Xenopus tropicalis: one gene and its partner. The protein of the gene in region 2 purifies or fractionates together with the protein of the main gene of each other region. This does not show direct contact. Links are inferred from orthologs where the notes say so. Each region holds a gene or a part of one and is shown on either strand. Other genes may lie near its edges.

Region 1 (6,308 bases), on a different chromosome or scaffold from region 2:
TATTAATGAACAAAAAGGGGAAGAATGCAGGACTGATGAGACAATTTTGGACCCTGAAGCAGAACTGTTAGCTGCATACCAACATCCTGCGTTTTATAGTCCCATTTAGGAAAGCAATGGGTGAAATGTGGAGGCAAGTATTACAATGCACAAAGGGAAAAAGAGAGACGTAGAGCCCCTGAAGAAGTCTTGAAGGCATAATGGAGAAAGGTTGTAAAAGAAGCAGATCATGGGATGAACATAAACTCATGAAGTGGTGATTTACTGGAATGTAAAGAATTTGGGTAGGCATTGGGTTTATTTAGATATAATTCTAGAAGGACTCTTGAGGCACTGTCAGGGGAGGAGGAACAACTAGCAAGATGAATAAGCTTTGCAGCAGGATTTATTGTAGACAGTAAAGCAGACAGCCTGCAGAGTGAAAAACCAGACAGCAGGGGACTGCAGCAAATCAAGATGTGTCATGATAAGGGAGTGAATGAAAATTTGGTGGAATCTACCATATGACTACACACAAACTACATTGGAAGGATGAAAGATGCAAGAGAAGTTTCTGAAAATGAAATATGGGGAGCACGGAAATGCTATACAATGTTTATTCAGAGAGCTTAGGAGCTCAATGGACACTCATAGAATTAAAAATATCTAATATCTTAGCCATAAAGCAAGACAGGGATAAGGCGTTTAGGGGAACTTTGAGTCAATGCAAATAAACTTGAATAAACACCCGTGAATCAGAAATAGGATACAAGTTGAATATATACAAATTGAATACTACATAAACCAGAGAAGTAGTTATTAATACAGTATGGAAGGAATACAGATGCAAACTTGTATCATTATTAATAACAAAATCCATGAGATCAAATATGTTTCCAAAAGAAAACTAGCAGGGAGAGTAAAATTTAATGGCAGAACCATAAAGCACCCAAATGCCAGATGTACCAAGAATAGGAAACTTTAAATATGCAATAAGAGAGAAAACAAACGCTTTAGTGTATTTATAATGTATAAGTTCATTTTTCTTTAAAAACTGCTATACACCCACCTATAACCACAAAGTTTAGAGGAGTGGGTAGTAACCAAGGAGCTGGCCAGCAACTTGTTCTTATTAAGTGGTGAGATGAATGGAAGGAGTATGGCCAAGCTGACTATTGATCTAAGTGTAGAAATTATTTAGGAGTTCTATTGGGAGTATGGTCCTGCTAAGTCTCAATAAGCTGATAATAACTGAAGATTAAACCACAGGTTGTGGGTCTCTCAGACATGGCCCATGTGATCTATATGCAGGGTGCATGGTGGGACCATGCTGATGGCAGTAACAGAGGGCTTATTCTGTATAACAAAATTAATTACTGTCACCTAGCAAGGCACCCACCTCTACAACTGACCTAAAAAAATGGCAAGTGAGTGGCATGGAAGAACACATGGGAACGTGAATAATTCAGCTCATGATTGACACCAGTCTCAAAGGAAATAAAAGATCCTGATTATTCATAGTGATTATATATGCCTTAACAAGCTGCACACAAGTCAGATTCAGTATCTTATTAAAGAGTCTTACCACAATACACTTTCCAGGTTCCAGACTCCAGAGAGAGGTCTCTGCATTTATTTTGTGAGTAAAGCTTCCCTCCACCAGAACACGTTCCCCTCCTCCTTCTCTCACCGCCACACGAATACAGCTACTGCGCAGGTCCACTGACACCTGAGGAAGAGGGTGCAGACAAGGGAGTCATACGCCCATTAGAATCAAAGGTGCTCTGTCCTTTACTCAATACAGCAACAGTAGCACAGGTATCACAGAAGATACCGAATGGGGGCCATTTTGGAAAAGGTAATTTTGTGCAATGCAAGTCAGCAGCTAAGCACAGTGATACTGTGCAATGAGTTAGTAAACAATAATATGCAGCTTGTTCCCAACCTGATTCCATAAGCAGAGCTCCTTCTTAATCCCCATGATATCTGTGGTTGGATAGGACATCCTATTATTATCTATGTACAGTTTATAAGCTCATTGTTGGGGGCTGTAATATGAGATAATAATGTGAACCCAGGTTTTATTTGGTCAAAGTTCCATGCTAAAGCAAATGTATTGCCCACTCACAGTCACTTGTTTTAACTCTGTTAACTGGCCATAATTAAATTGAAAATGAACACGGCTGTATATTCTCTTTTCAATATACAGCCATTAATAGTGTTCTGTGGTTTTAAAGAAACAGTAATGCAAAAAAATTAAAGTGTATCAAAGTAATTCAAATATAATGTACTGTTGCCCTGTGTTTGCCCCTACCCTACTATAGTTTATGTAAATATAGCTGCTGTGTAGCCACAGGAATAGCCATTCAAACTGAAATAGGGCTAAATGGCACAGGTCATTTAGCAGATAACAGATAAGCTCTGTAAAACACCATTATATTTTACAGAGCTTATCTGTTATCTGCTATGTAACCTGTGCCTTTTCTCCTTTTTCCAGCTTGGCTGGCCCTATGGCTACACATCAGCTTATTTATATATACTATAGTATTGTTTCTCAAGCCAACACACTAGGTTTACCAGTGCAGGGCAAAAGTACATTACATTTTAAACACAATTTTTGGTGTTACAATTCATTTAAATTAATATGCAAAGATAACAGAACCTCCATAGAAAGGGATAAAACCCACTGTTCTTAATATCAATTATAGTTACAAGTAACTTTAAAAATACAAATTTATGTTTGGATGTTGCTTGGCATTATAATTTTTTCATTATGCAAACACAGAAAAAAACCCCCAAAAATAATGTTTGCCTAATAATAACAATAATAACAATAATAATAATAATAATTCTAAGCAATGTTCCAATATACATTCATTACAAATTTGTAATGGGAGCATCATGGTGTAAGGATGTTTTTTAGCATATGGTACTGGCAGACTTCATATAATTCTATAATTATAGAATCTGCTGCCATCCACCAGGATGATGAAGATGAAACGAGGCTGGACATTTCAGCAAGACAATGATCCCAAACACACAGCCAAGGAAACTCTCAGTTGGTTTCAGAGAAAGAAAATAAAGCTGCTAGAATTACCCAGTCAATCAACCAACTTGAATCCAACTGAAAATCTATGGAAGGAACTGAAGATCAGAGTTCATAGAAGAGGCCCCTGGAACCTTCAAGATTTGAACACAGTTTGTGTGGCAGAATGGGCCAAAGTCCCACCTGAACAATACACGCCACTAGTTTCTCCTACAGGAGGCGCCTTAATCCGTCATTCCCAACAAAGGCTTTTCTACTAAGTATTAAATACATTTCAGTGTTCAGCGTGTTTAATACTTATTCCCTGTGTCATTTCACTTTACTACACATAATGTATGGACTTATTTGTTTTGATTTCTTTGTACATGTGGATTACTTTGGTTGTTACAGACATCTGGTGTAAATTTCATGTCAATAGCCCCATTAGAAATATATTTACTAAGAAAAACATGTTCAATACTTATTTTCCCTGCTATACAAGCAGCACTATATAAATAAATATAAATATGCATACAAACATATCTCCCCAGGGTTCTCTGTCCCTACCACAACTATTGTCATGACATTCATGACAAATTGTGAGGTTATTTATGTATGTTGGTATTTATGTTACACGTAAGTACACTGTGACGGATGTGAACACATCTACATTGCAGATAGGTGTATCTTCATACGTGAGATAGTTCCTATTTTTCTATTTACTAAAATGCCTTTCTTTTTATTAAAAGTTTTCTTAAAATATCAATATGTATTTTTAAAATAGTTTTCATGGGTATCGATATCCTTTGTAACCTCTTAAATATTCTCCCATTTAAATGGAAAGTTCATCTTAAAAATAATTTTGACTTTAATGAAGTCAGTGATATCCTAAGACAGTTTTTTTTTATTAGTTGCTGAAGTATTGCCTTTGCATTGAGCTTGCCCTGTTTTTTGCCACTAATCCATTTGATGGCAGGAGGTCGTCCCTAGCTTTAGCATCGGGAACAGGTCACATATGATCCTAAGGACAGAGGCAGGCATGAGTGGCGTGTCTGGGTTCCACCAGGGGGCCACCGCTACATTAAGAGCCCCACACCCCAGCAGCAGAGGTCTCTCGAAGGGGCCCATAAGGTTCTGTCCCAGTATCCTGCTGGCCCAATATGATCCTGCCCAGCGAAGTTCTCTATCACACCACCTGGGGCTGCCCAGAATAGTAGCATGAAATACACAAGGATAAAAACACACAGACCTACTAGTAGCAGCTACTTTTTCATGGCTACTTAACTCCAGAAAATACCATGCCATAGACAATACTGAGAAGTGCCTCTGCTAAAACACACATAGAGACAATTACCAGTAAATGATCAGCACTGTCTATTTTAGCAGCCGTGACAAGTAGCTGCTACTAGTAGCTCGGTGTGTCTTCACCCTAACGCTGTAGCAGCATCTGTATACTTTCTCTCACTTGTACTACCACCCATACTGGGAAATAAATTGGCATTACAGCTGCACAGTTTAGTCTTATTGTTTACAAATGACAGATTCCAGTCTTTCACATGGGAAAATGATATAATCATATAACACATTACTGTCTGATAAAAGACTGTACAGGTATGGAATCTATTATCCAGCAGGATGTTTGGGAAGGTTTTGGTAATCGTTTTTCAGATTTTTCTGTATAATGGATTTCATACCTGGTATATGTTTTTAATATTTACTGTGATAAACTATATGCCAGACATGCAGAATTACACAGTTACACACTGCGGCATACCACTCTATTTACTTCCCTCCCCAAAGCAGTTTCTAGATCCTTCAATGTATTGATCTCTGTCACCCTCTGCTGGGAAAATGGCTCTATAAGGCAAACACCTTGCCAGTTAGCATCATAACCATACATTGCCTTACACTGCCCCCTTTAGGACACAAGTCTTTGGGACTTGTCTCTTCTCAGTTTTCTGTAATAAAACTACATCTGCCCGCCTGTATATCACAAGTTACTCAATAAATATGGTGTTGCTTACCTGCCGACCTTTTATTACAGATTTAGGCACTGGAACTTTAATTTCCACATCTGTGTAATCCTGAGACCAAACATAATTCTTTCTTATGGCTCCATTGTAACTGTCAGGGTCAGCTTGGTAGTCTTCTTGTTCCCTGAATGGATGCAAATATACATATACTTATATATAAGAGTTGGGGTTTAATCATTTCCAAAAACCAAATGATCTAACATAGAAAAAAAATTGCAATAACTCAAAGAGGATAAGGGAGTTCTCAAGCTATAAACATTAAAGGAACAGTAACACCAAAAAATTCAAGTGTATAAAAGAAATTCCAATATAATGTACTGCTGCCCTGCGATGGTACAACTGGTGTGTTTGCCTCTGAAACACTACTATGGTTTATATAAAGAATGCAGCTGTGTAGCCATGGGGGAAGCTGTTCAAAAGAGAAAAGGCACAGGCAGATAACAGATAAAACACTATTGTATTCTACAGAGCTTATCCGTTATCTGCTATGTAACCTGTGCCCTTTCTCCTTTTTTCCAGCTTGAATGGCTGCCCCCGGGCCTACACCAGCTTATTATATATAGCCTATAGTAGAGTTACTGTAGCAAACACACAACTTTTACCAGTGCAGGGCAACAGTACATTATATTTCATTTACTTTAAAACTCTTTAATTTTTTGCTGTTACTGTTCCTTTAATGAAGAAGAGGGCAACGATGGAGAGTAGGAACGGGCAAAATACAAGCCTACAGAAGTTAATGATGATCAAAGGGATGTAGTAGTTCAACAATCTCTGGTAGGCTTCAGGGAGACCATCTATGCTGTGCAGACAGATCCAGATGATAAAAAAAAAAGAAGAAGAGGAATGACTATGAAAAGGGAAAAATGAGAATGAATCAAAGATGTATGGAAAAGCAAGTAAAATGGATAAGATTCAGGGATACTGAAAAAGAGTACAAACAATGGAGGAACGCAAACAGCAAGTAAAATAGAACAGCAATATAGCAATACCCTTGCTTCCAGCTGTTTCAGGACTACAACTAAAATCATCTTTTGGGGATGATGGGAGTTTAGTTATCCAGCATCTAGTCTGCAGAGGGCTGGACATTTCATTGTTTATAAAGACACCACCAAACAAACATTTCCAGGGAAGAAATATTTTTACTTGGGCTCAGCAGCTGCTTGTCCTGCGCAGTCTTCACTGGTTTCTCGTCCTTCTGCTCTTCCTTTTGTATCTATTTGTTGTGGCTCTTCTTCTGCTTTGTCTTGTTCCAGTGTTGCCTCCTCTGCAGG
Region 2 (6,308 bases):
ACCAACAGTGGATTTTGTTGCAGAGGAATAAAAAGACAAAGTGATTGGAAAACAGACAAAATGTATTTAAATAAAAAACAAAACTTAGCCAGACTGGGCACGGCCACCCCAAGCCTGCCAAGTCCACAATGGGCATCCTGATTCATATAATGCTTTCAGAGAACAAAGAAAACCAAGTAGTCAGTGTCATGAGAACCTGCCTTTAGCTATGGGAATAGCACAAGGTCTGAGTTGCTTAAGACATTTTTTTTTTTTTTTAAAAATTGCTAAAAACAAAAGTTGATCATTTTTATGTGCAACGTTTCACATGCTCTAAAACGTATTCTGGAAAATGCAGGCTGCATACTTGTAAACCATCCAGCTTGCAAGGCATTCTGGGATACTCATCCTCTTTCCATTTGTTCTCCTCTGGGTCAAAGGTTAAGATGGAATCACTATAATGCCCATTGTAACAGAGGCCACCAAGCACTATGATTTGATTGTCTAGCACAGCTACTCCATGACCACTCCTACCTATTGGCATAGATGCCAATATAGTCCACTGATCCATATCGGGATCATAAACTTCCGTAGATGGGCAGCCCTGCGATTCAAATGAAGCCCTTAAAATAACGCAGACTCCGCCAAAGACGTACAGTTTGCCATTGTATGAAATCATCTTGTGGAAACACCTAGCGTAATTCATTTTGCACTTATTTTCCCAGCAGTTTGTTAGAACCTGTGTTCTTCTGGTTCTTTGTTCCACTGTTCCCACTTTGCTTGGGTCAAACACACACACCTGCTTAGAAGTTGAAGAGGATGTAATGCCACCTGTGATGAACAATTTATTATTAAGAACGGTCCCCTCGTGGCCATATTTGTTGACAGGGTAAGGGTCCACAAACTCCCATTTGTTTTCTATGATATCATATCGCTCTGTGGAGTAAAAGGTTTCATCACGCGTCCTTCCAGCCACAGCATAAATATATCTACCAATGACTCCGACGGCAAATTCCGACCGCGGTACTGACATGTCTGCCATTCGCAGCCAGCTGTTTTGTCGTGGATCATATCTGAATACTTTAGAAGATGCATGAAATTCACCATCCGGCCCGAGTTCCTCTCCCCCCAGCAAGAAAACAAAATTGTTGACGATGGCAAGGCAGTCTGGACGGAGTGGAACCAGGGGTCCTTCAAGCTCCCACCACACACGAGGCTTATGAAGAAGGAGGATCTTGCTATTAACCATGCTGTGCCCAATCATTCCCCGGAATACTGCAGTCTGGGGTTTTGCTGAACGGATGTGGTTTGATTTCATTTCCATCAGAGGCTGCTCGCTGACATTATGGAAGTAGTTCAGGGCTTGCTCAACTTCGTGCCTCAGCTGCCGTGAGTACCGGTAGAATTCAGATGTTTTCACCTAGAGGGAAAAAGACAAAAACAGGGTGCATAATGTGAATTTAGCAATTCAGTGGCAAAGCTTGAAAATAAACATTATCCAATCGACTACATAACACTTTTTTTTAAAACAAGAAACACATTTATGACCCTGAACACAAAAAAACCCCAAAGAACAGCATATTATATATATAATATTATATATATAATATATATATATATATATATATATATATATATATATATATATTTATTAGATGGACAAATGTCTTATATAGCTCAAGTGCTGCAGGAAAATCCACAGCCCCTTAAAGGAAAAGAACATGTGTCTCATGTGAGAGATTTTCTTGGTATTACAGTAACTTTCCAAAGTAACACTAGAAGCCTTTCTGACAAAGTTGCTGTGCCAAGCCCTATGCTACACACTTACAGCTCCCTTTGCAGCCCACTGCCAACCATCCAGACTCTAATGGCACAGTCCTTCAGAACAGGGGGCATGGCACAGTGCTTGCCATAAGTCAGGGCCTGGAAGGCTTCACAGGGAATGTAACTTCTGTGGCATAGGGGTGTAAGTGACACAGAACCCTGATGCTATGAGACTATTAACATAGTGCCATTTCTTGTGAGAGCTGTATTTGCCATTAATAAAAACCAAATCACAAATTTCTAATACACAATTACTTTAATCTCAAATAGACTGCTACAGAGTAGGATATGTCCACCCAATGGATAGGTGCAGACTTTGGAAACATGCTGCATTCATGCTGCGTAGCTTTTCAGGTTAACACAATGCCAACCCATATCCATCATTTGCCAGCCTTACGGTAACACTGGAAGCTTTTACACCCAATACTGATGTGCAAGTGGCCTAGGGAAACCTTTACAATGCAGATGGGGTTGCAGTATATTTTCCACGCTGTATATGGGATGTTCTCCGTATTGTTGCCAATATTAAGTCAACATATCTAAAGCGACTAGCACACCCAAGCAAACTTGCATATAAACTCCTGGAGTGAGGTTAATCTGACTCCGAGTTATTGAAACTACACCTTAATAAAACATGAGTGCACAGCTTGTTAAGACATTTCCATTATGTAGTAATGAAAAGGCATGGTACATTAATGAGAAGTTACGGCATTTACTCAAACTATGAACATATAATAAAACACAACAGGCAATAAGTGCATGTGGATACTGCGATCATGCAGCCAGTGTTATAATACATTTACTCTGAATTCCCACATCAATGACAGAGCTCACTTAATAGATTCTACCACTACCAAATGTGCAGCACAAGCAAGTACGGTATATGGCTTCTTTCAAATAAACAGATCAACAAACTCCCTATTCCAAAGAGCTGATTCACAAAAGACCTAGATTTTCAAGCCTACGACCACCAGTTTTGGTGCTTTGCAGGCTTAATAGGACCATAAAGAACCTGAACTGAAATTAAATTTTTATACATCGTAACCATACAGTTTCTCTGGCATCTCAATGCAACAACACAGATTGACCTCAACTTTCTTTCCATCTATCAAGTGAAAACAAGAGCATGTATTTGGTTGCCTATGCCAGCGATGCCATCCATTAAAGGGTTTCAAAAGTATTGTTTCTAGGATACAGAAGAACAGAATGAAGAGTTTTTACTCCCATGTAGAAGGCTTTTGTGTGCCTTTGGGTATGCCATAGGAAATCAAACACTACTACAGGCACCAAATGCAGCCAGGGCTTTTGTGTAGCCTCATATATATACACACACACACACACACACACACACACACACACACGTAAAGCTGGATGCATGTCTGGACTGGGATTCAAAACATTCCCTGGCATTTCAAGTACACAGAGTCCCAAACAGCCCCCACTAGCCTAATAAATAGTCTATAGCATAATACAACAGAAAGCACTGGGGTTAAAAGTGAATAAAAACTTAAATGTTACTTTCTTTTTTAAATTTGCACTAAGGCATAATTTACTATAAAAGGAGCATTTAAAAGGGACAGTATACACCCTTTTTAACATTAGCTACTTGTGCAGAACATGCTTTTTTGCCTATTGTTTTAATTAAGAAATACCTATGGTTTCTGTCATTCCTGGCACTAAACAAGAATATGAAGCCAGTTTCACGTTAGCCCATCTTCTTACTTCAAGTCCAAAAGAACTTCAAAGGAGCTGCGAAAACGGATTACTAGTCTACTGAAAAGCCCCTGATAATGAGTTTCAGGGCTTCAGGAGATTTTAAGTAGCACCAAAAGAAACCAGCTATAGGGATGAATGGGATAGTCCAAGGGAAAGAATGTGGCAGTCCTGTGTCATAATACAAAAAGTAAGTATGTAAACCCTATACACTACACTAAAAATAGAAAAACATCCCTCTTTAACTAGACTCTCTCTTGGTAAAAGCAGTGAAGGAAAAATAAAGAAAACCCAATATTTTACAGTAAAAACCGATTGTAAGAACCACCACGACCAGTCAGTGAAAATAATGCCTTAAAAAGAATTTTCACATAATGTTCATTAGAAAAGTCATTTCTAGGAATCATGTTTTTATTTATAAATATCTGCAGCTTTTCTGGCAGGGCTATATGGACCAATAATGAATTATGCATTATTTATGATATAACAGATAGAAGATGGATAAATGCAGCAGAGCCAATAGCAAAAGCACAAAGAAAAACAAAATTAAATTCAAGGAATGAACTTATATTGAAATAAAGAATGAATGTAAATATAGGTCATATGACAAACTAAATACAAAACGGAATGTTGGTCTTACTGATCATTTAAAGAATGGGTGAGATCACTTACTGAAACCACCCAATAAATCAGGATATGGGTGATGGAATAATGAAAACAGAAACTGAATGTCAAAATCATAATTTCTTTATTTAAAAAAAAAAAGTTAAAGAACTTTGATAAATGCAAAGTCTGGCAAAGGCAGTTCATCATTTCTTACACTGATGCAGTGACACAAGCTTCAAAGCGGCTCCTTTACTGAAACAAAATTAAAAAAATCTACATTTTTGCTCTCATTTTACTTGACCATCTGCTAATGGCTTTTTCTATTTCATGTTAGAACAGGATGCTTTAAGTGTCATAATGATGTTCCACAAATATATTACAGCTCAGTGTGACCTTCTTCTGGAACACAAATACTTCAGTAATTAATACATTAACCCTAGTAAAGTGATCACTTGCAAACAACCACTGCCAGTGTAATGGTATCACAACAGCATATCTGACACCTAAAGCCCAGCCCTAACAAATCCAATAAGCAAGATAGCCATGGCTGATTAAAGGATATATTTGATCTCCAAATATATTGCTTATATTAAAAGTATACGTAAGCTTTTTACTTTAAAATCCCCTAAAAAGTCTCTAAACTGAGCCCAGGATAGCATACCTTTCTCTCTGAATTCAGTCTCATGTGGGTTTTAAATTACAAGCAGCTAAAGTGCAGCTCTTTCAGCTCCTTTCTAGTCTAGTGTGAAGCACCACACCCTTTTCTGCGCTCTCCCGCTCTCTGTGACTGTAAAGTCAGTCTGCCTCTGCTCCAATGGAAAGCAATCAGGCATGTGCAGTAGGCACCTCTTCCACCATCTTTACAGTCAATAAAGGAGAGCTTAGAAAATAAAGGAACAGAGCTTCATGCTAGCCAAGGAAGTAGCTGAAATGAGCTGCTTGTGCTGTACAAATGAAATGAGACTGAGTGCAAGAAGACAGGTATTTTATTCTGGGCAGTATTAGTAATTTTTAAAAAAAAGCTTTAATTATAATTTATAAATAATAATTATTTATGCTGGTCGTTTTGGAAACTGTCTGCGGTAAGACGGTAACTGAGGTAAGAAAAGCAATCCGATGTTTTTCTAGTCATCACTAAGTTTTGGTTATACAGATACAACTGTCTGGATCTGGTATAAATGTGGAATAAATACTATTTTAAACGTTTGGCACAGGTGCACACCCCTCCATCTCTCAAGTATTGCGATTGCTCATTTCACTTCACATGCCCTGTTCATATGATAAGATGTTGCCCTGCCAGACAATATATATATATATATAAATCTTGGACAGACCAAACACAAATGGATGGTCTGTCAAAATGAAACCCTACTGTGCCAGACATGACCAGATGGTTCAGCAGTATAATCAGAACTGGGCATACTGCCTGGACATGTATGGCAATCTTAACAGAAATTTCATGTTAATAACGGACACATCATAGCAAGACATTTTTATTTCATATTTATTGCATGCAACTATGTTTGTATCTATTTCCAAAGGATTACAACAATCTGAATGGAGCATTCACTTCCTGGTGTGCCTGGATAGAATACTGCAACTCCCTAAAGGAGAGGGAAAGGAACACTGTGACTGGGGTTGCCAATTTGTTAGTGATTATAATCACTTACCCGAGAACCCGAACCAGTGCTCCTGTTGGCCAAACACTGCACTGGCCTGGGGTTCAACTGTAGGAGTCCCACATTGCTTCTTCTGTCTCTGAGGGCTTGCTTTTGGCCACTGTGAGTGAAAAGCCAAACTTTGAAGAAAAATGCCAGCATTTCACATGTGCACTTAGCTAGACGCCATACAAGAATCAACAGGGAGGAAGGTGGCAATGGGGTGCTCCTAAAGTAGTACCTGGTGCACTTTTCAGTTAACAGCAGCACTGGCCCGGAGTTAGTGATTGGCACTGCCCAGTGATTTTACCATTTCTCCTCCTTTAAGGCACCAATAGTCCTATACATATGAACCCTTGCCCACCCTCCACAGGACAGCATTGCTGTTTAATGATCTGACAAGCAAGACCGGCTAACAAAAAAACATATAATTTTATATATTAAAAAAAGCCCTTTATAGAAAAAAGTAATGTGGGCAACTTTATTACTGCCCTTTTACATTACACTATTGTAAACAATATGGTAAGA

What was found. Proteins that work in one complex are often made in the same cells at the same time.
Region 1: the proteins of klhl15 (region 2) and nudcd3 purify together in Homo sapiens (co-immunoprecipitation; 3 studies listed by BioGRID and IntAct, with this or other methods). This does not show direct contact. The link is inferred for Xenopus tropicalis from reciprocal best matches to the Homo sapiens genes KLHL15 and NUDCD3.

Annotation. Positions count from the first base shown.
Region 1 is NC_030679.2:126,201,700-126,208,007, forward strand, and holds part of nudcd3 (nudC domain-containing protein 3), read right to left. Parts: coding exon 6,181-6,308; intron 5,162-6,180; coding exon 5,029-5,161; intron 1,709-5,028; coding exon 1,565-1,708; intron 1-1,564.
Region 2 is NC_030678.2:43,214,902-43,221,209, forward strand, and holds the end of klhl15 (kelch-like protein 15), read right to left. Parts: intron 1,400-6,308; coding exon 290-1,399; 3' UTR 42-289; downstream 1-41. UniProt on the Homo sapiens protein: Substrate-specific adapter for CUL3 E3 ubiquitin-protein ligase complex.